7 linked regions of the Oryzias latipes genome follow. The protein of the gene in region 3 interacts with the protein of the main gene of each other region in a pairwise test. Links are inferred from orthologs where the notes say so. Each region holds a gene or a part of one and is shown on either strand. Other genes may lie near its edges.

Region 1 (4,110 bases), on a different chromosome or scaffold from region 3:
AGGGGGCGCGGGGTGAAGGGTACAGGCTGAGAGGTGAGCACGGAGCGCAAAACGCATGCGCAAACCTGGCTGGATCTTCTTCCAGGGGGGCAACGGTCGCGGGCCGCGGCTCAGTGCTTGATGAAAAAATAAAAATAAAAATTGCGCCCCCATGTAGCGAATTGGCGCCCCTGGGTGCAGCTGCACGCGCTCCTGCTGGAAATGTTTGACGAACGGGGGGGGGGGGGGGGGGGGGGGCTGCGGGTATAAAAAAGGTATAAAAAAAATCATGCTTTTTTGGTTATTTTTGTGTGAAATGCCCAAATAAAAAATGGGAAAACAAAAAAAATTCTTCACTTAGATGACAGTTGGTTTAGTCGACAGACTTGATGCCTATGTCAGGACATTTATGCTAAATGCAAAAAACATCTGAAATATGGAGAAAAAAGGTCAAAACTGGTGCCCAATTTAGAAAGAAAAGAGAAGAAGAGGAGAAAAGAGACAAAGAAAAGGGTAATATAGCATAGCTAGATGCACGTTTTTTAAATTCGAATGCTATCTACCCTCCAACATCAACAACGTTGCAGAGGAAAAATCTCTTGTTTGGTCTATCATGACCAAAACTGAAGTAGGCCCAAATATTGCAAATAACGTCATTTTTAAGATATTTATTCTTAAATGTTTGCTCTGCCTTAACTTGTAACATTAGTTATGATTCGTGTGTCTGTCTGCTCTGCTGTAACACAACGTTTTTTTTGTGTTTTACTGTTGTATATTAGTTCATAATGTTAAATGAGCTGTGATGGTAGCATGCTGCTGCTGCTGCTGCTGCTGCTGCTGCTGCTGCTGCTGCTGCTGCTGCTGCTGCTGCTGCTGCTGCTGCTGCTGCTGCTGTTAGCTTTTCAAAACTCCAGTTGATCAAGTCATACCTGAGGTCACCAATGTCTCAGGAGCAACTCACTAACCTGCTGTTGTTAGTATCAATCATTCAGTAGGGGAGCAGATTTCATATGATGACGTTATTGACAAGCTTGCAAAAGGAAGGCCACAAAGGTTAGGTTTTAGTTAGTGTTTTCTGTTCTTAGTGCTGCAGTTACATTTATTCTAGTGTGTTATTAGTGTGATTTGTAGTTTATAATATTTATTTTAGATTATTTATTTGTGTTTGATGGGGGGGGGGGGGGGGGGGGGGGCGCCAGAGGAGGGTCTCGCCCGGGGAGTAATTCAGGGTAGAACCGCCACTGACTGTCACTATCAGAGCACTCTGTCTTCCTGCGTGTAGTAGTTTTTCCTGCGTGTGGTAGTGTCGTAATGAACGAGTCGCCCCTGAAGGCGGCATTCATTGAGGCCGTCGTCGTCATCACTCAGGTGTCTCATTCGTAGGAGACTCCGCGGCGGGCGAGAAGGCGCCGAACCCTGAGCAGAGTTCCCAGCGGAGGATGTCTGATAGTTGTTGCTCTTTTCTTCCCTTCAACGCACTTTAATAATTCTTCCTACGTCCCGACGCGCACGAGCCTCGACCATGAGCACCTTGATGGCGTGTAAAGCCGGACGATGCGGTGAGTGCCACGCGCTCACACTCAGCGTCACCTGCAGACCATAGAACCAAAAATCTCCTCAGTTCTTTTTAGACTTCTTTTTAGATTGCATAGATTATCTTTAACTTTTTCTTACTTTAGGTATTCGAAGTTAACTTTTTTTATTCAAAAACAAAATGAAAATAAGCACAAGAGTTACAAATAGACAAATGTGCTCGAAATTTTTAGTTGTTGAAGTAATAAAGTTCATTTCAACCAAAAAGTATCCTTATAAAAAACATGTATTATCATTAAAAATGATAAATAATTGTAGTAAAGAGTAATCCTGATGACTCAACTTTGCCCTGAAACTAAGTGTGTGTGTGTTTTGTTTTTTGTTTTTGTGCACAAAAAGTAGTACACTTGAAGTCTAACTTAATAAGTATACTTGAGTATAAGTATAGCTAGTACCAGTATACTAGTCAGGTTCATTTAGTGAAGGAAGTATAATAAGTAAATACTTCTTCAGACTACACTGAAACATTTTAAGTTTACAATATAAAGATAGTCAGTAAAGTAAACTTCTAGTATACTGCCTCACGTTTAGTACACACTGGGTATGCTTGTAGTACATTTAAATCCACTACTTTTTGCTAAGACACAGTGAGAGTTGATGAGACTAAATCAAACATCTGGATGTTTACTTTTGCAGCTTCAGAAACAAAAATGACATCATTGCAGAGCAGGACCTTTTGCAACACGTCTGTGTTTCAGTTTAATGAACAGGAAGCGTTTTTTCATCACCTAATAGCTGGATCAGTTTGAACTTGTTAACTACAGCTCGACGCTTTTTCATGGAATCAGTCTTCATTTAAAAAAATATGCAACTTTTCTTTGCATCTATTAAGATATAAACTTTAGATGCATGCATACACTTATGAGTCAAGTTTTGACAGTTGTGTTGTTTCCTGCAAATATGTTGATTGGATCGACACAGTTTCTACTATAAGGAGGAAGCTGGAGACATCCGCTTATCTTAATGTGAAGCATACGTACTAATGCTTTTTTTTTTACAATTTGGGTTTACTGCTTCTGTATTTAAAGATACGTTTATTTATAGTAACCAATAAACCTATGAAGCAGGTTTTTGGACGGTGGGAGGAAGCCGGAGTCCCCGGAGAAATCCCACACATGCACGTGGAAAACATGCAGATCTGCTAACAGATTACAAACGAGAAAAAAGTTTTCAACAATTTTCCCAACCTGTCTTATTCAGCTTGTCTTTAACTCAATAACGTACACAGATCTGGAGCTGTAATCATTTTTTAGTGAATTATCTTTTTTTTTTTTTTTAGTTTTGCTTTTGACATACTTTGGAAAGGCTTGCATCAACAAAACTTGGTTAAATTTAAATACTGAAACACAACATAACAACATGACTAAGTAGTAGCGAGTCATTTCAACAGGTAGAACGATTACTTTCACTTGCGTTTATTTTTTTTAGGGACTGTGTTGTACAAACACCATCCCCTTGAGCTCCTGACATTAGTTCAAGTGTAATATGTCTCCCATAAATGAGTTGATGCTGGTGATCAACCGTTAGGTGGGTTAAAATTGTTGTTGACTGTTGGAGGAGTAGCCAATATGAATATACAGTGACGCAAAAGGGGACCTTTCCAGGAATTAAGTCATTAGGTTTTGTTCTTTTGCAGTTGTGGTATGTTAGTTTTACGTGTAGGTGGTGGAGCAGAAAGATCTTCTCTTTTCCGGGGAGTCTGGTAAAAATGTCAAAACCATGTTTAAAAAATGATTTAAACTAGGGTTTGCACTGATGAAGTGTTAGTGCACAGAGAATGAAAGCAACAATCGGGTTAGTTGGATTAGAAGGACGTTTTGGTGCGATTCAGTAGCAGTGAACCTTAGTTTGCGTTTTTCCCACAAAAATACCTTTTTAAACCCTTTTATTTACCTTTACATTCATTAGAAAGAATGTTTATTTAAATTATGCCTTAAAAACCCTAAATATAAAACTACGACAGACAAATACAGATTAGTTTTGCTTGAAGTCTTTATATAGATTAGAGGAATTAATCCTAAAATATGAGCTTTTATGATTGGGGGACTTTTCCCACTGCTGCCCCGGACCGCTTAAATTCCTTTTTCTCATATCCAAGGTAAAGGAACTGACTTTGTAGTGATAGATGATGGATGAGCGCGTGTGGAACACTTCTCAGTGGAGCCAGGACATCAGATACACAGATCTGACTGCTACAAAATATTTTAAACGCCTCTCAGTGTTTCAACGACTCATTTGAGCTACAAAAGTAGAGAGGAGTATCAATGCAAAGAGTTTCAAATGACAGGATCCATTCACTTTCTGTTACTGGTCTTTGTCTGTTTACGTCCCATAGAAGTCGGAGCTTATGTCATCTGCTCTAACATATGTCGCTAAATCATTAAAGGAAATAAGAAATGCAGTTTAGATGACTTCCAGACCCGTTTTATTTCATTTTTTATATTTATTCAGTATATTAACCATGGGGAATGTCGATTTATGATCATATTTGACATGTTTACATGCTAAAAAATACAATAAAACACATTCAAGTTTTCA
Region 2 (2,664 bases), on a different chromosome or scaffold from region 3:
AGATCTGGACTTCGCCGCCTTGGCGCGCGGCTTCGGGCTCCTCCGGCTCCCGAAGATGCCGGAGCTGAGGGGGAAGACCTTCCCAGATTTCCCTGAGGCGGCGGTGGACACGGACGCCATCCCGTACAAGGACAAGAACAGGGAGAAGCAGAGGCAGAAGACGCTGGCAGAGCAGAAGGACCGAGACGGGCCGGCGCCGCCCAAGAAGAACTTCGCCAAGAACAAAGCCTGGTCCAAACAGAAGAGCAAGAAGGAGCGGAGGAAGAGGAGGGCAGTGAAGAGGAAGCACGAAGAGGTGAGCGCTGACGGCTGGAGGCCGTCTCTGCGAGGACCGACGGTTTAAGCTCCTCCTTCTCTGCAGGGCAATGATGATGAGGAGGAGGCGCTGGAGCTCCTGAACGACACGCGCCTCCTGAAGAAGCTGAAGAAAGGCCGGATCAGTGAGGAAGACTTCGAGCAGCAGCTGACCGACGGGCCGAAGAGCAAACGGGACGCAGAGGCCCCTCTCTGAACCGCTTTATTGACATTTATAGATATAATTTGATGAGTTCGTCGCTGACGGCGGACGGCGTGAGGACGCCCAGGTCCGTGAACAGGAGGGTGATGAGGGAGGGGGGCGTGTAGTCGATGACGGGGTGCTCCTCCGACAGGTTCTGCCTCTTCTTCAGGGTGTCGGCTTTGTACTGCGGAGCAGAAACAGACGTGAGGGCGGGGCTCGCCCATCCAGGAACGCCGTCAGAGGAGGTCTGACCTTGAACTTGTCCGGGACGTCCTGCTGGTTCAGCGGGTACAGCCGCACAAACTTAAAGCTCTCCGCCACCACGTAGAAGGGCTTGTTGTGAGCTTTGGAGCAGAGCGCCATCTGATAGGTCCCGATCTGAAAGGACAGACGCGCCGAGGTCATTGAGGGCAAACGTCCCGCCACCACGTCCCGTCTGACTGAAAAGAGTCTCCATTCTCAAAACTAAACTGGTATCTGATAAAACAATGATTAAATCTGCTGTTTTCTATCAAAATAATTTGAATAAAAAGATTTTTTAACTGATTCTGAAAAAGTCTGAATCTATTTTTCCCATAAAGCTCGTTTGATGAAACAAAACCTTTACCCCTTGTGCTATCTTAGATGACCCCACCCTTACTTTGACGTGTTCTCCCTACCATGACAAAGGTGGATAAAGGTGGAAAGATTTCATGTAATCCATGGACACCAGAGAAGATCACCAATCATTGAAGAAAAAAGGTTCAGAGCACTGTCTAGTGGGTCTAGATGACCCCACTGTCTAGTGGGTCTAGATGACCCAACTCCCAACGTTAAAGTGCCTAGGATAGCACAAGGGTTAACTGAACCCTTTACCTGCAAAGGTACGCTTGATTTATTCACCCAGCTGTCCAGGCATTTCCATCATTGTTGGTACTTTTTAGATCTGAGTATTGTCAGATTTCCTTTTAACAGAAACAATAAAAAACTTTAAGTTGTCTCTTTGAGTCACTGTAAACTAATGACACGTCTTTATTTTTATGTTTTAGTTATAAATATCTGAATGAAGGATGCACTGACCAAAGAACACTTTGAGTTTAGCTGTTTCTCTAGGACGATTTTGGCGACTAAAGAAACTTTTCAGGCGTGTTTCTAACGCAGCTCCACATGCGGTTAAAAACACGCCAGTTCAGGATTCATCAGACGGTGACGGAGGAGTTTCCGCCCGTCCGCCTGCAGTCGAAGAGCGAACCACATGTTCACTGTTTCTGAACTCCACAGTCTGAATAGGTTTGCAGTTTAGGTCCAAACCCACCTCAGAGACTCCGCCCCTTCCACGCCTCACCTTGTTGATGATGCCGCCGCTCTCCACCACCCCCTCTGCTCCAACGATGACCAGATCCACCTTCTCCAGGACGTACCTGAGAACAGCAGAGCATTGAGGAGGACGCGGTGCATGATGGGAAAAAACGTCTGTAACCGAGCAGGCTTCACCCCACAGCGGCGTCCAGGACCACGGTCACCGGGACGTGGAGCTTCGCCAGCTCCGCCGCCATCTGCTGCCTGAGAGGAAGAGGAGGAAGTGAGGCTGTCTCTGCAGCACAAAAACGTGCGCACGCGCGTGCACACTCACCCGGCGGCGTCGGGCTGAGACTCGGTCACGTAGACGGAGAAACGCTTCTTCTCCATGGCGGCTTTCTCCAGAACCCGCAGCACCACTCGGGAGAAGGAGTGGGTCAGGATTTTCTGAGGATCATCAGCAGAAGAATGAGAGAGCGGCAGGACGGCGAGCGCCAAGAGGGAGCGGCGGGAACTCACGGCGCCGTCTTTGATGAAGGTGTGACACAGCTTGGCCACTTTATTCCTGGACATGGAGATCTTCTCCAGAAAGAGCTCTCCTCTCTCCTCCATCACCTTTTTACAGCGGGACAAATCCTGAGGACCAACGAGAAAACAGCCGTTTCAGCCAGAGACCAGCGCCACCGCAGAACACCAGCGCCACCGCAGAACACCAGCGCCACCGCAGAACGCCAGCGCCACCGCAGAACGCCAGCGCCACCGCAGAACGCCAGTGCCACCACAGGCAGCAGGAAACGACCATCCAGGTTCAAAGCGCCACACAAAAAAATACAGAAAAAAAAAAGAAGTTCGGAACATTTGGAGAACAAAGTTGTAAAATTAAAGGT
Region 3 (4,070 bases):
TTTGAAGCCTCCTCCTATAATACAAAAACTCTGACAGCCCTAATTGGATCTAGTCTCCCCTGTGTCATTTCACACTATATTACACACAATCCAGTAGTTACCAATACCTTTAAAATTATGTTTCAATTCAGACAGACGTATGGACTCACTCAAGTGCTTACCACTAGTCCTATACACAAAAATCACCTTTTTCTCCCTGGTCAGACAGACTTCGTATTCATGATTTGGGAAGTGATTAAGGTACAGTATAATCAACTTTAAGGACATGTACCTAAGCGGTATATTTGCAAGCTTCAATGATCTTGCTTCCAAATTTTGTCTGCCTCACTCTCACTTTTTTTAGTACCTTCCAGTGTGTCGCTTCCTTCAGCAGCATGACCCTAACTTCCCTAACATACTGTGTTAGATGAGGTGTTTGAGTTGCCACTCAATTCAAAAAGATTCATTTCCAAAATCAAAGACTGCAAAATTCCTGCTTCCATCTTTGTTGTTTGATTGTCGACTGGTTAATTCAAAACTTCCAAACTTATGTAATACGTTCTTTGTTTGTTGGAGAACTGTTTCCAACATTCTACAAAACTCATTCTATGTCCCAGCATTACACAAAAAAGTTTTTTAAAAACCCAATTTTTCCAAAATACAAAGAAACCCATTTTAAACAATGAATGCAGTATACCCATGCAAGGAACTGCTACATTTACGTTTTGGTTTTCAAGAAAATAACTGTTAATAAATATAAAATCACTTGATCATCTGTTTTTTGAATGTACATATGTTACCAGTTTTTGGGAGTATTGTGTTTGTTGGTGCTCCTCAAAGTTTCCTTTTCCTATTTCTATTCCGTTACAGTTGTGAGTACTTTCTGGTGATAATTTATTTGATTTGGCATTTGATACTTTATTAAATTCTGGGAAATTCTTCATCAATGAGAGCAGATTTTTTTAAAATCAAATCATTATTCAATACATTTCATAAAGAGATCTGTTTACATTTTAAATCCTTGGAATTCAAGAAAAACAGAAATGCAATAAAACTGTCAATTTTCATTGAAGATCACATGTTGTATGACCATACCTAGTGTGAGCTACAATTCTAATGTTATTTATTTATTTTTTCTTTGTATTGTATTCTTTTTTCTTTTTATATCTTTCTATTGTAGTTATGTGAATGTGTACGTGTCATCCTTTGAAGTTCAATAAGAATAAAATAAAATAAAAAGTTGGTGAAATCAACGCTACAGGAATGGGCTTTTAGTTTGAAAGGACGGATGTGACGTACTGTATTTTCGGTGAGGTTCTTTCCGGTTAGCTTACAGACATGAAGGGTCAGTTAAAGAAAGGTGTGGAAGTAATACCAAGCCGGGAAAACTGCGTTTATACCAGCTGTTATTGGTAAAAACCAAGTTTTAACAAATCAGAAAAGCAGCCCACTGTCCTGCAGTCTTTAGTTTTGTGTCAATAAATCATTTATTGTCAAGAAAAACATCAAAATGCTAAGCGGATCCGCTCGGCTAATCGATATTCACAGTTTACATTGTTAAATGTTATACCCATTTTTAAAACTGTTATAGTGAATGAGTTATTTCAATGCCATCTGTCTAATTAATGATTGAATGAATTTTCAGGGAAATATAGTTCATTTTAATCAAGTGAATGAGTGGCTAATGCTGCTTTCCTTTACTTTCTCAGTGAGGAAAATGTTTGGAAGCTCTGTGAGTTTATTCAAGCACAGAAAATGGTTCCACTGGACCAGTTTGCTGTAATTTTCATCTCTAACGACACCAGAACGGTAAGAAGATCTGGAAACATTTTAAACGGCTTAACAAGACAATCGAATAAACAAAATGTTTGCTTTAAAAATAATATTTCAAAAAGTACCTCATACTGAGAATGATGGGCACCGAGCCCTCAAGGGTTCAGGTGGTCTCAAGAAATATTTGAAAGTAAATAACAGGCCTTCTCTGTAAAAAGAAAAATCCTTTTTGCAAAACATCTGGTAGTTTCAAAATACAGCTACAGTGATCCCTCGCTATAACACGGTTTACTTTTCACGGTTTCGCTACTTCACGGATTTGCATCGTGCATTGTGTTCTGCATTCTGATTGGCTAAAAAGTCACTTCACTTCTCTACCTGTGCGTCAATAACATTGCAGTTTAATATGTACACGTACGTAAATCAGCGTGCCAAATTTACAACAGATACGTGCAAATCATCTTGCAATTTCGAGTTTCTCTATAACCCATGAAAAAAAGGAGCGACAACAACAACTGCCTATCACTATGTTCTTCTCCCGAACAAACACAGCTGCACCGCGGGCTTCAAAGGGAGACTGCAGAGCGGAGTCAGGATGCAGCGGCTCAAGAGCAGTGAATTACACCTGAGTCACTATTTGTCTGACCGTACTTTGTATTTTTTTAAAAATCATTTTAAATATCTTCCCGTTTAATCCAAATACTCGGGTCGCGGTGGGCGGGGCTAATCTCCGCGATTTGAAGCCTTCTGTTCACATTGATGATTAAAATTCTTATTTGACAGTACAATACAGAAGATATTTGTTGAAAAACCTTTTCTAAAGTACTTTTATTTGTGAAACAATTCCTTAGCCTGTAAAACGGTTTGTTCTTTCTTTTCAATGTATAATAGAGAATTTAATTGTATAATAATTGTTAAAAAAAAAGGTTTCTACTTCACGGATTTTGCCTATCACGGGTTCTTTTTGGAACGTAACCCCCGCGAAAAACAAGGGTTTACTGTACTCCATTAATTGTGTCCAAATTGGAGGGCTGTGTTCTTCCTGGGCTGCATCTGAAGGCTGCTTACGTAACATGTTGTCCAAATTCAACAAGTCCTTTAAATATGGCCACCGAATACAGCCTTCTTTTTACCCGATTTCAAGGATTGCTCTGGTGTACCCTTCTATGCTGTCCATATCCCAAGATGCATAGCAGTAGAACCCGGATATTTTCTGACAACAATGGCTCCATGCCTGGTTCACTCCTCCTCCCTGTTCGGGACTCACGGTTGCTAGGCAACAGGACATTCACTGATGTAATGGCTGGAATTATCTAAAGGCTAGACTCGTCCAAATTCACAGCCATTAACATCTGACCTACCCGCTCAACAAAGGACCCGAGTAACATCGCCAGGGAAGACTGCGGCCATTGAAGGACGCAGACTTCGAATTTGGGAGCACCCAATATATAACGCTCAAATGTTGTGAAAGCGTCTCACTAAAACGGTCAATCAAACCAAACAAAGAAGTTCATCAAACAAATAGGCAATCCCTAAAACTGGCCACTACACACAGTACATTACAAAAACCAAAGAAATCCCGGACAAGCCCCCAATTTATGTTACACCCCATTTTAGGAAAAAGAAATACTATTTAATAAAAAAACAACCAAATTACTGTATATTTGCAGTATAAAGCACACTTAAAACCCTTAATTTTTTTATTTAAAAAGCAACAGTTTGTCTTAAAATCATGATCACCCTATCTATTAATTAGTTATGCTGCAAACAAGGTTGGGTGTTATTGTGAATACCCTCACGCGGCTAATGTGTGGCGATGTTGGACTGTTTTTTTGGTTACCAAAAAGGTTGTGTGATAGCGTAGTCACGGTAACGTTTGTTTTAGCGCTATCAGTCTGTTTTGTCCACGTGCTGCAAGCAAAGTAACGTGACTGACTGACGGACATTTCTCTGACTCTTTAATCTCACTTAATCTGCCTTGTAGTTCGGTGTGCTCTATATGTGACATATGCTCAAAATAGACCATTCATTGATGTTGTGCTTGATAATCCGGTGAGCCCTGTAGTGTGGAAAATACTGTACAAAGAACAAAGCCTGTATGTATGTTCTGCCCTGGAGATCCTTGCCCAGTCTGGTGCTCTGGACAATTAGGCACAAATGTGCAATCAAAGCTGGCAGAGGAGAAGGAAGACAGAAAACCTCCCACTCCAGCAGAAAATATAAAAGAAAATAGAGAGAGAAAACCCAAATGTACAAAAAAGCCATCACACTGTCATTTATCCATAAATTTTCTAAATCTGCTTAATCTGTTTTGAGGT
Region 4 (3,944 bases), on a different chromosome or scaffold from region 3:
TTAGTCCGCACACCACGCCTTTCTGGAACTGCCGTTATGTGTTACGAAGAAACAAATCCTTGTTTTACAAAAACTGGCTGACTAAAGGGATATGTTCTGTTCTGCATCTACTGGATCATTCTGGAAATATTTTGACATTTGAAAATTTTAGTTCTGAATTTCAATTATTTGATAGGAAACAATATGATGCTGTGATTAAAGCTCTTCCTCGGTCGTTGATCCAATTATCACAAAATCTATTGTTAAACAAAGTTCCATTAAAACTTCCTTCACTCCTATTGGACGGACAGACGGTTACAAAGACAGAACTACCAAACAGCTTCATACGAAAATTGTTTGTGAAAGAACTCTTCCAAACATCTCATCAGAAAAAAAAAAAATCTAAACACTTCTCTAAAGAAGAGGTCATTGAATTAAGGTTGAATATCTTTAAATTTTGTATTTTACCAAGAGACATTCATTTTAAAATAATTAGTGATGTTTACCCATCCAAGGAATTTTTGAGACTTCGTTTTGGATTTGAGGAGAATGACTGCAGTTTTTGTTTAAAGGACATTGAGACGGTGGATCATTTATTCTTAATTGTGGAGTCATAAAAACATTCTGGGAAGAGTTCTGCTTTTGGTATTCTTCCAAAATTGCAATGACAGTTCATTTAGAGGCAAAAAATGTTTTATTCGGGGTGGTTTCACCTAATAGACCAGAAAATATGGTCCTTAATGTCCTGATAATTCAAGGAAAGTTTTATATTCACAAGAATAAATATTTGATGACCAAACCACTTTTTATTACATTTCATAAAGAGCTCTATTTTTGTTTTCAATCACTTCACTATATGAAAAAGAAGAATGGCTTGAAATTGCCTAGTTTTGTTCAAAAATACAAACTTAATGAGTACCCCTGACCAATATCAAACCTTTTGGATGGATTTATGTTATTTTATTTTTTATTTTACTTATTTATTTTAATTATTTGTGTGTGTTATGTTCATTCGTTTTTTCTACTTTTTATGTTTATATGTTATGTTTGGCAATGGTGATTGCTATTCTAGGTAATGTTGATTATATAGTTACTGTTCGTTATGTTATGTATGATACCTCAATTGTCAATAAAGTTTATAATTTTTTAAAAAAAACCTCTGTCTTTCACTTCCACTTCCGGTGGTGCTGCTACTTGTCGGTGTCGCTCATTAGTGACGTAACGCAATCTTCAGAACGAGCTGTGTTTACTTTTGTGTGTAACCCAGGGAAAATTCTGCGAAATATCTGAGGTAAGCAGCCACATGTTTTTATGGCCAGCAAACTGAAGAAAACAGTAACAAATGACGTCGTTGTTTTGTAACAGACGACACACAGGCATTAAATTTAAATAACACGTAACGTACTTACTTGGCAGCTGTTTTGCGTTTTATTTCCTTCAAGTTTTGTTTAAAATTTCAAAATGACTCAGTCCTTTCTTATATAATCATGTCGTAATTGAAAACCCTTTTTTTATTTACCACATGGATGGGTAGGACATAAAACTAAAGCACTGAAATGTGAATTCTGGGGGGAAAAGAAACACTACTGTTGAATTCTGACTGAGCCCTTATCTTCTTAACCTTTTTCTTTTTATTAGTGGAGAAAGGGTGAATTTGACTCCAGGGGCTTTTACTTTTTGCAGACAAAACTAAACACTGACTGGACTTTACCTGCTAAAGTTTTAAGACAGAAGTCCTAAAGGAGCTAATCTTGGTGGAAAGGAATATTTAAAAAATAAAGTCAGTAAGTCCATCTGTGCTGTTATAATGGCCGTAAAAATCTGTTATTTAAACTGAGTTTGTTTAAATAACTAATAATATGTATAGTAAGTATAGTGTCATTTAAAAAAACTGGAATATTTCTCTTAACATTTCAACTTATTGACACTTTTGAACTCACTGCATACTTAAATTTGGGGAGTATTTTGATGGGGATTCCTAATTTCCCACATTCGGAGGAAAACTCCTTTAACCGTCAACAGTTCTTGAGAAGTTTAGCTCAAAAACAGTTGTCTTACTTTTGCGATGATTGGAAAATGTAGGGAATTCCCCTTTTATACAAGCGCTCTCATTTAGTGGACATGAAACAGTCATGTTAGTGCCACCCCCATCCAGGTGTCAGTTAGGAAATAATCAATTGTCAAAACTGGTCTGTTTCATGGCAGGAGATGTCAGCTCTGTGTGACCCTAGCAACGGCTGCCAAGATGCAGGACAAGCAGCTTCAGAGAAAGAGGCAAGTATGACATCATGTAGAAACTTTGGTGAATGTTTGGTTAAATCTGTTTAAATGGAAAATCTTCAGAATACAATCAGCACTCTGTGTGCACTCCCCAACCAGGTGGATGAGATTTTGGTTTCTGCACATTGCTTCAGACTGACAGGGTTAAGCTCGTCCTTGGATTCATGCGTTCACAGCGGGCATGTGTCGTACATTTAAGAACATGCTGAACGAGGGGTTCTTGAACGCTTTTACACTCAACTGTCACTACCCGATACTATCGCATGCATCTACAGTTGGACGAGGCTTGGTGCGAAATGTCAAAGTAGTGCAAATGTCACAACCATTGACTGTAAAAACAATGGACACCTCCCTTCTCGTGTTCCCAAATAGGAAGTACCATTGCTTCCTGATGCGGGCGCCGCCACGTTGAAACGTATCAGGAAGGGAGGAGAGCTATGGGTGACATCATACCTCGATTCGTCTGTTGTTTTTACAGTCGATGGTCTCAACTCTTGCTCCAGGCTTTTTCTTTCACAGCTCTATTCTGACATATTATGACAGATTTGGTGTTGTATAATGCCGTCTAAGCACAGACCTCAACTATTCATTTATCCTCCATGATCAATTTTCAAAGGGTTGGCATTTCAGTGAGTGAAAAAAGGACGCTACCCATATGTGGCTCCCAAATCCGACACTCTGATTGGTCAAACATTTAACGCGTGTTCAATGGCTGCACGCTTTATTTAAAGAGCCCGAAAACAGACTTAAAATCTTGCATGGCGATGCGTTAACGTGAGAGTTTTGAACGCGGAAGCCCGAAACATGCATATGTACCGTACATAGACTTTTTATTTGAAATGGTTGCTTCAACGCGCGTTGCTAAGGCCGGTGTGATCGTAGCATAAAAGAAAAACACAAATCACTGAAACTGTATGAAGATTTTAAAACATAAGTCATAAAGTCTGAAAATAGATCAAAAAAATAACAGTCATTTACAGAGACTGTAGCAGTTCATGCTAATTGTTTGAGAATTTGTCACCTCAGATTAACCAACCCATATGAAAGTGGTAACAAAGTGGTTATAAAATTATTTGTGAACATCAGACCTTTTAATAATGTTTAGTTTTTTGTTTGTTTTTTTCTGACAGATTTGGTCTTCATAACCCTTAGCAAAAAGTAGTACACTTGCCGTATCTTTGAGTAAAGCAAGTCTACTATAACCTTGTCCATGAAGTATAGGAAGCATACTAACTAAATACTTTTAAGACCACATTTGAACATTTTTTGGCAACTTGAAGTATTTAGGCTGCAAGGGGGATACTTTGGTGCAGCGGTAGGGCAGTCGAAGAAGATCTGAAGATTGCGGGTTCGATTCTTACCTTGATGTGTCTTTGTGCAAGACACGGAACCCCACATTGCCACTGGTGAAAGGTTGCCGCCATTGTCCATCAGTGTGTGAATGGGACTGTGACTGTAAAGCACCTTGGGCCTTCATGTTGTTGACCAATCGGATGACCCGCCTCCTTGCCGCACCTCTTATGTAGACTAGGATCATTTGGAGTGTAATTTAAGTTATTAGATGACTTTATTAATCCCACAATGGGGAAATTCATTTATCTGTGGCAGCTGCGAAAGTGTAAAAAACATGTGATCCACTGCAAACATGTGATCAACTGTCAAAAACACGTAAAACTTTTTTTCTT
Region 5 (3,998 bases), on a different chromosome or scaffold from region 3:
GTGTGAGTGTTATCTGAACAGCTTCAAGGAAAACCAAAGTATATTTCCATTTCCCAGAAGGACTTTGACGTGCTTTCTGGGTAATGGAAAATACAACAGATTTACAGATTTAAGTAGGTGAAAGCTTTTAGACATTTAGTCTGTCCAAGGAATGTTTTAATCCAATAAAGGTATGGATTAAAACTCAAACACTTTGGACCTATTTCTGTTTAAATCCAACTTTAACACCCTCAGATTATGATGCTGAAAGTCGATTTACCCCTCATTGCCACAGTGAGAAGAGAGCTGACAGATGGTAAAACACATGCAATGTTGTGATTTTTTTTTTTTTTCGAGGAGTGACTAATTCTGTGTAGAAATAGGGAATCTGGATTGTAATTAGCGGCTGGTCAGCCAACATTCAGTGCCCAGACTTTTCTGTTTGTCAGTTCACACTGAGGCTGAGGGATAAGGTGCAGCACAGAGCCGATGATGTCCACCAGACTGATGAGGACTCACTGCATGCTCCACATTGAGCTAATTTATAGCTGCAGTAAAAGCTTTGACCTGTTTGGAAGTGAAAGGCTCAGAACTGGAACTTCTGATAAGGAGAGAAACACAAGGATGTGGAACTGGAGGTCGGACAGAAGACAGCTCATAAAGACGAGATCCAGATTGCAGCATTTTTTACTTTTAATGTAAGAACTTGTCTGCTCGTCTGTCTGCGTCATCTTTTTTTTCCTATTTACTTTTCTATTCAGGATCAGCTGCAAAAACACAACAATACAGTAAGAAGGACCCCTGTGTTGTTTCTGAATTCTGTAACCAAAGAGACAAGGTATTGCTGCATCACAGCTGTGTGTTCTAAAGAAGCAAAAATGAGCCCAAATATTGACAGAACTGCAGCAAAAAGCTTCAATGCTTCTTAAATGGAGACTTCCTTCATTCGTTGATGATTTTTGTGATCCTCTAATGTCTAAAAGGGTACAAAACAGACAAGCTGCTAATAATTTATTGGTTTTATTTAAATATGAATGAGAGAATATGATCGTTTTCTAGTCACTTCTGTCAATAACAGTACTGGTGTTGATGGAATCTCTCATCAAAATGTTTCCTTTTTCTGGATTTTGCAGAAAAAACTTGCATAAAAGCTGTTTTATGTTTAATTATTTCCTTCCTCTGTTGCAGTGAAACTCATTAAGAGGTTTTTGCATTATGGCAGCTAAAGCTCTAAATAAGATGTGCAGTCTTGGAGGCATCATTGTAGAACAGATCAAAACCTTGGTGCCAAACTGAGCTGTGCTTCAGATGACAAGCAGCTCTGCATTGTTCGGCTCCTCTAATGCACCCATGGGGCCAACTCAGCCCCACAAACAAGAGCCAGCAACAGAGGAGCTTGGAAAAGAGTGTCGCGTTAAGGAGGCGGTGGCTCACAGCACAGAGGACCAGCAAAACTGTGAGGGCTTAACTATTTCTTTAAAATTAAGAATAAACAGGAAAAAGCCGGACGATGCCTGAAACCTTATTAAAACGGATTTCTCTGAAAACAGGAGGAAAGGACAAATGAGGAAAGGAGGGGAAGAAGAAAAGAGCAGACCGTAGGAGAAAAAAAGACAGCTGGATGCAGGTGTGAGCGTGCAAATCAAATGTTCACTTCTCCACCATGATAATGATGACGGGGTCAGCAAGAGTGGAACATGGCAAAATCATTAACATTCTAGAGTTCGGGGTGATGTGCAAAAGAAGGAGAGAAAATGCTAAAATGATTCAAAGCTGAAGTCAGATCCTGCAGAGAAGGAAGAGTTGCAGGCTTAGAGATCAAAGCGGACTGTCACTGAGAGGCATAAATACAAAACGACAGAAATAATGAACAACAAAAACAGGAGAGAAATCAGGAATCTTTTCATGTATCCAAACACACAATTTTAGTTTGCTGGTAGGGATTCTCTCAAGAAATAACTTTTTGAAAATCTAGAATAATGTGACATGAAATTTGAATTGGCCCTCTGGTCATAACTTTATTCAGGTCATCTGCAGAAGCTGATCTAGTTTCTCTTTTGTTTTGTCTTCTATTAAGGCCGGACTAGAAGATCTCAGGGGGAGACAAACGATCTGCGGGTATTGATGAGCTGACCTATATTAAAGATTGCGCCAAAAGTGGATCAGTGAACCATCTAACTGACTGATGAATAGATTTTTGTTGTTGTTTTAAGGAATCTGTTTCGAAGTTTATAAACTGAATACAGCTCAGGCGGTTTGGTGGAGGATGCAGACAGAGTGGAGAGTTCAGGCGCCAGCCTCATCCCGGACACCCACCAAAGTGTCAAATAACCAGCAGACCTCCTGCCAAGTCTCCACTCCTCGCTCTTGTCTGTGCGTAAGTGCGCACGGCGCGCACCGCTCCCTGGATCCTGCGCATCCAACCCCCCCATGCAGCCTGATACTTACATCCAGAATGACCGAGATGCCTCTCCGTGGCTCCGGGGCAAAGAACTGCTCCTGGGCCACGGCCACCTCCTCTTTGCTGGAGGCGTACTCCCGGCTGGAGATGTTCTTGTTGTCGCTCATTTTGGTGACGATCCAGCGGACGAGCCCGTCGATTCCACCGGGCTGGGCGCCGCTGTTTCCGGACTGCGCTGCCGTCGCGGACTCGCTGTCCTGACCGGCTGAAGGCTTGGGCTGCTCGCGGCTCTCCTGCGCGCGGAGTTTGGCTTGTTCTTTGTTGAGCAGTTTGTGGACTCCGTCCCTACAGTAACGCGCTGCCTGCTCGCACATCCTTTTGCTGCGGAGCGCTCATGCTGCGCTCTATGGGGGAGAGAGAGGAGCTCCCCACCCACCCCACTTCCCTCCTTACATCACACACCCACCCCAAAACACACCCACCCCACATTCCCTGCAAACCCACTCAGGAGACAGAAAACCTTGTGGAAGCTTCAACTTCTCACTTTCCATGCGCGTTTTTTTTGCAGATCATGCGTTATGTGGCTGATTTCAAATGCACGTCAGAACTTTTTTTTTCCTTTTCAAAAAATATTTTGTGGGTGTTTCATCCCGCAAACAGTTTCTGTCCTTTGGCTGTATTCCAGGGGGAGGATTTCTGCATCCCTGAAGGAGCATCAGAGAGTTTTTCCTCACGCAGCTCCTCTCATTAGAGGGTGTCCTGCATGAGTGATGTGACAGATTTAACCTTTAGTAATGACTGACTCCACCAGGTCTGCCCTTTTCCAGAGTTAACGGAACAAAAAGAAGATCAGGACAAATGAGGTCCTGCAGGAAAGTTGACAGAATGACAAAACAGCTGTGGAGGATGATGTGTCTTTCCTCCATCAGACAAGCAGCAGAACTCTGATCAGATTACTTGACATTACTGCCCCCTTGTGGAAATGAGAGTGCATCGACAGGAAGGACTTTGTAGAATTTATTAAGTCATTTAGAAAATGTTTATGCTTTAAAGTATTGCAGCTTCGTCATTCTAATTAAATTCATATATAACAGTTACTAAATAATAAAAACGGATCAGCTGCTTCCTGTTGTGGTTATTTATGATCACTGGGATCCTTTCAGGTAAAAGACCCATGAGCAAGGCTTGCTGTGTCCCTCGCAGCGCTCGCTGGAAACGGTCAGCTTTCCGAACCAGGCCTCCCTTCCAGGCTCTCCATCAGGAGCTTCAAAGGAAACCTGGATGTTGTGAATCTTTTTTGGTTTGATGTTGTCTGGTCCTTTGACAGTAAAGCAGGGGTTGTCCACCTAAAGCAGCAGAACATCCAGTCAGTTTCAGGTTACTACATTTACAGGCATATTCATTTGGGAATCCAGCAACTCAAGCAGCATAACAATAGAAAAGTTAGATGTAAAGTGGGGTTGGAGCACTTTGTAAGTCACTGTGCTAAATATAAATGAGCTGGGTGCTGCTGCAGCCCTTATGAATAATTTAAAAAAATCTTCTATTGAAAGTAAACAGGTCATAGTTCTTAATATGAAGACTTCCTTTTACAAGGTCTGCCTGTTCTTTACCTGAG
Region 6 (3,960 bases), on a different chromosome or scaffold from region 3:
TAATAAACATCCTTAAATCTAGACCAAAATGCAGAAAAGTGTTGCCATAAGTAATCGGAATTTTCCTAAATCAACAAGATGAATGGAACTTTAATGGAAGAGCGGTGCTGGGACGAATATTGGAGAATTACTCAATGTTTCTCAATGTCTTAATGCTTAAACTGTATGAATCCTGGACATGTCTTTTCAAAAACTAACATGTTTTAAACAATTTGTTTTTCTTGGGCCACACTGCCATCTGCTGTTGTATAGCACACACATGAATGAATCAATTTGAAACCATGTCATCTTTATTTTTTGTTGTGTGTTTTTAATATTTATAAATAACAACGTAAAAATGTTGACTATATATTATACGTTTTTATTTTGGACAAAATTTAATATTACAAAAGCAAAAAAGACTGAACACTTACTTAAAATGGAACTTCAGAAATATTTGGAAAAAATCTTCAGTTGAAAAAGCCTAAAGGTTAAAAACACACATCTGTAAATGTTTAGGGCTACTTACAGAAACCACACTTCTATCAATGTTGTGTGTTATTCTTCATTCATTGTACCTTTCTTATTGATCTTTTCCTTTGCAAAGTAAATGTAAATAATTTTGTCTTAAATATATTTTTGAGATGTGTTTTTTGTCCTGTCTTTTTATTTAATAATTTATTTAAAAATACAGTACAATAAAAAACATTTTTGAAAGGGGAAACCCGCCTTTCTAAGCCAACCCCTGGTGAAAATGACGCATTCAAAGACGGGCGGACAAACCAAAATTCACAAAAAAGGAACTCAAAAGAAATGACATTCAGCGGTAATAATGGAAGAACATGTTTCGCCCTTTTAGTAATTAAAGTAAGAAGAAGAAATTCGTGCTGTTTTTACATAAAGTATGTGGGGATTTTGTAGTTTCAAATCCCCGTTGTGTGTTTTCTGTGTTTGGGGTTTGCGTCTTCTTTGTGTATGCGTTTTTTTCCCCGGGCACTCTTTCCAATTACAGTCCGGGGAAAACCTTACCTTAACCCAGAAGTAGCTGGGGTATGACTGAATGAATCTCCGTGACCCTGTACCAGACTAGAAAATGGTCGGATGGAATTTGTAGCTGCTTTGCTGATTCTCTCTTCTGCACATACTGTCCGTGAATGCATCAGTCGTAACCAAGGTGATGACGCTGTATTCCGTTACCAAGGCATTCTTAAGGCAAACACTGGTAGCTAGAAAGCTAAGCTAACAGATCTAGAAGATAATCTTTTCTTCTTGTATAACTTTTGTTTAGCTTGTTTCCAAAACAAATACACAGAAAAACAACAACTGCATTTTCTATCCCGCCTGGCTTCACTTTGATTTCATCGTAGCTCAAATTCGGATCAAAATTTCCCCATCGTTTAGATTAGTATTGACGTTAGCATTAGCTGCAGCCACCATGGTAAGTGTTGACCACCTGTTTGCGTTTTCAAGCCCAGAATCTCAAACGTCTTTCGATGTTAGAGCTGCGATCATGTGGAGTTTAGTGGGAAGCTACTGACTGTCTGTTAGCATGCATCTCAATGAAGAGCTAGCAGGGAGACTCAGGCCCTGATACAGGAGAAAATCCGCTTCTTGTTAGCTTATAAGCTAATTATGAATGTTATGACATCTGTTGCCTTCGGATGTGTCTTTATTGGAGTATATTTATTACTTTGATTGATTGTGATTTTCTTTCCAGGCTGACTTGGGATTTAATGAGCACCATCAGAATGAAATGATCAATTACATGAGGTTTGCTCGTTCTAAGAGGGTCCTGAGGCTGAAGACTATCGACTCTTGTTTCGAGGACCTCAAAGAAAGCAGGTGACTAAAGTGTTTCTGATCCATTTTAGCAATGATTTGATTCAGATCTGCGTTTGAACGGTCCGATTCGATGACCTTAAAATCGTTCTAGGACATCTCTAGCCTTTTGAGATAAATACCTGGGTATTGAACAGCGCAGGTGATTTTTTCTAGATTCCTTGTATTTCTTCCAAGACAATCAAGTGTAAATTAAATTGGTGTTCAAACAAACAAGTTAACAATTCTATTCATATTTTAGTTTCATAAAGTTCAGCCCCCTGATATTTTACACATTAGAGCATTCTACCACGCTAACAGTATGATCACATGTACGGTCGATTAGATTCATAACTTGCCTCAGACAGATTTAAGACACTGAATTGTTGATAAATCGATTCTTTGATGACGTTTCTGACCCTGATGACACAAGTTGCTTCCTCCTAAAGCCGCAGAGCTCAACAGCTGTAAATGCTTCTGTCCCCCTGAAGGCTGGTAGAAGAAACCTTCACAGTGGACGAGGTGAAGGAGATGCTGGACGGGCTGCAGGTGGTGGTGCGCGGGGAGGTGGAGGTGGAGCTCATCAACTCCGCTCATACCAACGTGCTGCTGCTGAGGCAGCTCTTCTCACAGGCTGAGAAGTTTTACCTTCGACTCCAGACTGACATTTCTGAGCTGGAAAATAGGTGAGCTACACAGAAGCTGTACTCTCATTTTTTAAAATCTAAAGGATGCTTCAATATGTACTGCAACTCCAACTCCAGAAAATCTGGGAGGTTTTTTTTTTTTTTTTTTTTTTTTTACATTTGAGTGTTTAAATAGAATGAAAACTATAAGACATTCAAACCACAAACTAGTATTTTGCTCACAACAGCACAAAGATCCATTGAAAAACCTTTAAACTGAGAAATTTTACACTGAACATGTATTTTAATATCATGTCCAATACAGGTTTAAAATAATTCAGATGGGGTAACAAATAAACGACAAAAGAAACTTAAGCTTGTGTCAGCAACTGTCACAAGAACAGGCAGACGGTTGGATCCAAATGCAGCAGGTTTATGAGCCCAGCTAAGAGTCCACAAAGTTAAATCTGGGTCAGGTAGGCAGGAGCCAATAAAAGGCATGAGATCATCAGAGGAGAGACAGGGCAGTCAGGATCCAGACGAGAGTTGGGGCAAGCAAACCGCGTGGGACGGACGGACGGACGGACGGACGGACGGACGGACGGACGGACGGACGGACGGACGGACGGACGGACGGACGGACGGACGGACGGACGGACGGACGGACGGACGGCATTGCACAGACAATACTTAACACTGAGCTCAGTGCTGTGCTTAAGTATGCTGTGATTGATTGAGTGAACGAGAGTCAGGTGTGCGGCATCCAGGAAGTGCACGCTGGGGTTGCTGGGAGGTGTAGTGTCAGAGTTCTGACTTCTGACATTCTCAAATGATCAAGAAATGCTTCCAGAAATCCCAGCCCCAAAATGCCAAAGACGTGTCCCATTTTGTAGTCCCATGAGTCCGAATTCTTGTTGGACCTTCACAGTGTTTCTCATGCTATGGAGGGGGGGGGGGGGAGGAGGATTAACATGAAAGTTTTCAAGAACAGCTTTTTTCAAGCCAAATTTCAGGAAGAAAATGCATCAAAACTGACCATAATGCAGAAGCAGGAAGTCTAGATCAGGCAGGAATGAAACCAAAACCCCCAAAAAGTTCATAACCTCAATGACCAAACTAGGAGTTGCTATTTTAAGACTGACAAGAAATTCTAAATTAGCTAATATTTTGCAATAAAGTTTTTTAGATTTTAAAATTCCCAATCAAAACTTTTGTGCTATCTGAGTCTGTGGGTAAAAAAACAACAACAAAAAAACAAGGATTTGTGTGATTGAAAACTCTCTTTTCATTCTTTTGACATTTAGTAAAATCTCAAAATGTTCAGGAATGCTGGTTGCAATCGTTTGAAAGTTTCCATTTGTGAAAAAAATGCAGAGCAAAAGCATCTAACTCTTCCCGTTTTATGTTGTAGCTCCCGTCCTCACTGTAATATCATTTAGATTCAGATCTTCAGGGGACGTTTTCTTTGTCAGGTAAACCGGTCGCCGCTGGGAAGCTACAAAAACGCAGGAACATCACGCATCAGTTTGCCCCAGAC
Region 7 (3,500 bases), on a different chromosome or scaffold from region 3:
GTATTTTTAGATCACAAACCAGAGAGCATGTTCACATTTATTGTTTTTAAATTGTCGTTTATTTCCACTTTTTTTTTTATATGCTGCATCCCAAAGTGAGAGTTGCAAAGGAATACCTACACACCATAAGGAAGCTGTTGTCTGTTCTCCATGTGACTGAGCTTCAGGGTTAATGTGAGGTGTAAGCGTAATTCTTAGGAGACTAACAACATTTCTGTTCTTGCAGGCCTTGTTTAGGAAGGCGATGGTGCTGCATGAAATGGGGCAGGTGGACAAATCCCTGCAGGTCTTCCTCCACTGCCTGTCTGTCAATGAAGACTTCCCAGGAGCTAAAAGACAAGTGGAAAAGGTTTGTTCGTAAAAAAAAGCTGCTAATTTGGAAAAAAGATGCTTTAACCCTGTTATCGTGGATGTGATGCACATGGTTGTGTTAATCAAAGGTTCATGTTTGTGGGACGAGTGAGTGGAGCTGAGGAGGGTGACAATTATCTGACAGAATGAACAAAACAAAAGGACAGTCATGTGTGAAGGTTTTATAGCTTGCATTTGTTCGTCTGCCACGGATGAGCAGATTTTGGCCCATTCAAGGGATTTATTTGCTGTTGTTAGATGGAACAATCATCCTTTCATCAGGTGTTTCTCACCTATTGATCTGAAGGTTTTGAGGTTTGATCGGTCAATAAGAAAGCAAGCTTATTTTCCTCAAGTGAGATTCGATTTTAACCCACAAAAACTCATGGTGATATCAGCGTAACTAAAAAAAATGTCAGAAATGGATTCTGTGGTCCACTTGTTTGTGGTAAAATATACATAATTTTATTTTGAAGAAATAATGGGTCTGGGTTCTTATGGGTTAAAACTTTGAGAAATAGTTTTTCCGTTCCTGTTGACTAACATCAGAGAACCCAACATTTTGTGCGTGTCAGAACATTTGACTGAACCTGTGAACAGAGCAAGATCCAGCGGGTCTCCTCTGTGATCGTTTGTCATGGACTTACATAAGTTAGTGGGTCAAGTCTTGTGACTGCGCGTAATGACATTAGTGCCACTTAATAGACAGAACACAGACACTATTGTAGTTATGTAAGTGACACACTTTCTCCTCATGCATTTTTTAGAGGAACATGATTATTCTTCTGGCAGAGGCATAACGTGTGATGAATTTGTCTGCGTCTGTTTGGTCGGACTGTCTGTACAGATTCAGACAAAAACCTCATTCATACGTTTCTGTTTTGATCCGGGTTTAAAGTGGAGATGGGGCTCCGATAGTCACTAGAGGACGTCTCAGTACACTCTGGACAGGTTGTTTATGGGGGTCAGATAACAGTCAGCCCCATGGTTTTTTGGAGGGGTGTGGCAATCACCTGGCTGGGATTAAAGGAGAGATAAGATATAGACAACATTAACTTGCTTTAAAGTAAAAGTAACAATGTGTTTCTTTACCCTTTGTAAACAATAAATAGAATTTATTGATGTGATTCCCAATCATCACACAAGTGCCGATCCTTTTACCCCAATTATTATACCTTGTTTGGTTGACTTGTACTCCGGAGTAATTTATAATCCGAAAAAGACGATACAAAACAACATTCTGACGAGAAATGGCCACTTTTGCTAAGGGATCTTGACAGATTGTCTGAGTAATTCTTTTCGAGAACCACATTTTGAGTCAGCTGATATAAGACTAAAATGACTACATAGGAATTACAAATGATATAATAATGACTCTGCAGTTCTCTGAAGTCTTCTGCAACCTCTTGTTGCCCAAAAAAAATCGATCATTTATGAAACAAGCCCCAGATAGATAACTGGAGAGCCTTTTTTGTTACGCATGTAATCTGCTCATAAGGCAAATGTCGTATCAGTGGCGTTCCAGCAGTTAGGAAACACCAACTCAAACAGCTTCTTTGGTGTCACATTATTCATAGCAAAGAACAACACGGTTGCTCTTTGTGGCTGCATGGACCAGACGTGGAAAAATTCTGAGCTGTCTCCATATGCTGGGGGGAAAAAAAGCAATAATGGCATTTGTCTTATACATAACCTTATTCACACCTTCATGAGATTCTTTTCATCAGAACCTTTTGACATGGCTTGTTAAAAAAATATTGCCTTTGTTCAGCTGACATACAGATTCCTCTCAGCTCTTTTTGGTCAGGCTTTTCCACAGGCCAAGTAGTTCCAGCTGGTGTCAGGTGATCGCTTCCAGAGGTTTTTAAATCACGTTAAGATTCCACTGCATGTTTTTGGTTTAAACATTCCAGTTATTAAAACTGATCTGTATGACTTTTTTTTAATAAAAGGTACTTAACCCTGACTAGATGTTGCTTTGTCTCTGACGGTTTTGATGAAGCTAACGAGTTCTCTTGTTCAGCCTGATAACATACTTGTTTGTTTTTTTTTGCAGATCTTGTGTGACCTTCTTTCCCCCGCGGATGAGAATATTAAAGTCGGCCTGAAGGAAACCACTCAGAACACGTTGCCTCATTTACGCAGCAAAGCCCTTATGGCAGAAGCACAACCACAGTGTCCGGTTCAGAGAGCACACCAACAGCAGAACCGAGCTGTTTCCGCACACCAAGTGAACAGCCAGGAGGTACCTTTGAATAAATACTGCTATATGCGTGTTTAATGAATGACTTGATTCAGTGCCACTTAGGGAACCATCGTCTGTCATCTGTCATTATCCAGAAACGCTGGGAAAGTCTGGAGCGGCCCGGTCTGAGCCGAACTCAATCGCTGCGAACGCACGGCTGCAACAGTGGCGATGAGGGACTGAAGAGAGTCAGCTCTGCTCCTCAGCTGGGCGACCAGGACAAGGGAAGTCTGCTGAAGAGGAAGCTGTCTGTGTCCGACCTGGAATCCTGCTTTGTGGACAGTGGAAGTAGCAAATACAAGAAGCAAGGTGTGTTGTTAAGACTCACTGAGATTATTTTGGCTGCCTTTAATAAAAGACATACTATAACACTTTACTGCAATAATAGTTTAACAGCTTTTTTTTCCCCCCTCTTCCTAATTTAGGTGTCACCAAAGGCTCCAAACAACACATTTCCAAAGCAAAAACCTGCAAAAGTGTTCCTGAGGGTATGCTGGACTCTAGTGACCTTGAGTGTTCTCTTTGCATGAGGTAAGAGAATACTAGGATGAGGATTGTTTGTTTTTACCAATGCCTTCTACATTATTTGTTGTAAAGTGAAAACAAGTCAAGAAAGGCCTGTTTGTAACTCAGATCCGTTGTGTTTGTACAGATTGTTTTATGAGCCTGTGACAACTCCATGCGGTCACACCTTTTGTAAGAACTGCTTAGAGCGCTGCTTGGACCACACACCGCACTGTCCGCTCTGTAAAGAGAGCCTGAAAGAGGTGAGGCAGCAGTCCTAGAACAGCCTCAACGTCAGAACACTTCAGGCCTAACTCTCTGCTGTTACTCATCCTGCTGTCTCCAGTACTTGGCGTGTCGGAAGTACATGGTAACCACAGTCCTGGAGGTGCTAATCAAA

Evidence for each region.
Region 1: the proteins of wdyhv1 (region 3) and edaradd interact in binary tests that used the Homo sapiens proteins (3 or more experiments, as listed by UniProt). The two-hybrid records come from large-scale screens. The link is inferred for Oryzias latipes from reciprocal best matches to the Homo sapiens genes NTAQ1 and EDARADD.
Region 2: the proteins of wdyhv1 (region 3) and eif2b1 interact in binary tests that used the Homo sapiens proteins (3 or more experiments, as listed by UniProt). The two-hybrid records come from large-scale screens. The link is inferred for Oryzias latipes from reciprocal best matches to the Homo sapiens genes NTAQ1 and EIF2B1.
Region 4: the proteins of wdyhv1 (region 3) and apip interact in binary tests that used the Homo sapiens proteins (3 or more experiments, as listed by UniProt). The two-hybrid records come from large-scale screens. The link is inferred for Oryzias latipes from reciprocal best matches to the Homo sapiens genes NTAQ1 and APIP.
Region 5: the proteins of wdyhv1 (region 3) and necab2 interact in binary tests that used the Homo sapiens proteins (3 or more experiments, as listed by UniProt). The two-hybrid records come from large-scale screens. The link is inferred for Oryzias latipes from reciprocal best matches to the Homo sapiens genes NTAQ1 and NECAB2.
Region 6: the proteins of wdyhv1 (region 3) and lztfl1 interact in binary tests that used the Homo sapiens proteins (3 or more experiments, as listed by UniProt). The two-hybrid records come from large-scale screens. The link is inferred for Oryzias latipes from reciprocal best matches to the Homo sapiens genes NTAQ1 and LZTFL1.
Region 7: the proteins of wdyhv1 (region 3) and lonrf1 interact in binary tests that used the Homo sapiens proteins (3 or more experiments, as listed by UniProt). The two-hybrid records come from large-scale screens. The link is inferred for Oryzias latipes from reciprocal best matches to the Homo sapiens genes NTAQ1 and LONRF1.

The regions. Positions count from the first base shown.
Region 1 is NC_019873.2:9,878,132-9,882,241, reverse strand, and holds the start of edaradd (ectodysplasin-A receptor-associated adapter protein), read left to right. Parts: upstream 1-1,310; 5' UTR 1,311-1,501; coding exon 1,502-1,538; intron 1,539-4,110. UniProt on the Homo sapiens protein: Adapter protein that interacts with EDAR DEATH domain and couples the receptor to EDA signaling pathway during morphogenesis of ectodermal organs. Mediates the activation of NF-kappa-B.
Region 2 is NC_019870.2:1,222,556-1,225,219, reverse strand, and holds the end of eif2b1 (translation initiation factor eIF-2B subunit alpha), read right to left. Parts: intron 2,414-2,664; coding exon 2,297-2,413; intron 2,225-2,296; coding exon 2,112-2,224; intron 2,042-2,111; coding exon 1,973-2,041; intron 1,900-1,972; coding exon 1,824-1,899; intron 1,046-1,823; exon of another isoform or gene 878-1,045; coding exon 752-877; exon of another isoform or gene 684-751; coding exon 528-683; 3' UTR 512-527; downstream 1-511. Other genes in the region: ATP-dependent RNA helicase DDX55, read left to right, coding at 3-295, 362-511.
Region 3 is NC_019869.2:4,812,114-4,816,183, reverse strand, and holds the start of wdyhv1 (protein N-terminal glutamine amidohydrolase), read left to right. Parts: upstream 1-1,270; 5' UTR 1,271-1,317; coding exon 1,318-1,391; intron 1,392-1,688; coding exon 1,689-1,788; intron 1,789-4,070. UniProt on the Homo sapiens protein: Mediates the side-chain deamidation of N-terminal glutamine residues to glutamate, an important step in N-end rule pathway of protein degradation.
Region 4 is NC_019861.2:8,213,016-8,216,959, forward strand, and holds the start of apip (methylthioribulose-1-phosphate dehydratase), read left to right. Parts: upstream 1-1,144; 5' UTR 1,145-1,270; intron 1,271-2,184; 5' UTR 2,185-2,187; coding exon 2,188-2,253; intron 2,254-3,944. UniProt on the Homo sapiens protein: Catalyzes the dehydration of methylthioribulose-1-phosphate (MTRu-1-P) into 2,3-diketo-5-methylthiopentyl-1-phosphate (DK-MTP-1-P).
Region 5 is NC_019864.2:24,684,458-24,688,455, forward strand, and holds the start of necab2 (N-terminal EF-hand calcium-binding protein 2), read right to left. Parts: upstream 2,801-3,998; 5' UTR 2,755-2,800; coding exon 2,428-2,754; intron 1-2,427. Other genes in the region: hydin (hydrocephalus-inducing protein homolog), read right to left, coding at 3,526-3,726, 3,994-3,998. UniProt on the Homo sapiens protein: May act as a signaling scaffold protein that senses intracellular calcium.
Region 6 is NC_019878.2:21,516,326-21,520,285, forward strand, and holds the start of lztfl1 (leucine zipper transcription factor-like protein 1), read left to right. Parts: upstream 1-1,160; 5' UTR 1,161-1,414; coding exon 1,415-1,417; intron 1,418-1,696; coding exon 1,697-1,821; intron 1,822-2,288; coding exon 2,289-2,483; intron 2,484-3,960. UniProt on the Homo sapiens protein: Regulates ciliary localization of the BBSome complex. Together with the BBSome complex, controls SMO ciliary trafficking and contributes to the sonic hedgehog (SHH) pathway regulation. May play a role in neurite outgrowth. May have tumor suppressor function.
Region 7 is NC_019859.2:13,839,896-13,843,395, reverse strand, and holds part of lonrf1 (LON peptidase N-terminal domain and RING finger protein 1), read left to right. Parts: intron 1-226; coding exon 227-349; intron 350-2,407; coding exon 2,408-2,596; intron 2,597-2,691; coding exon 2,692-2,905; intron 2,906-3,021; coding exon 3,022-3,127; intron 3,128-3,248; coding exon 3,249-3,363; intron 3,364-3,446; coding exon 3,447-3,500.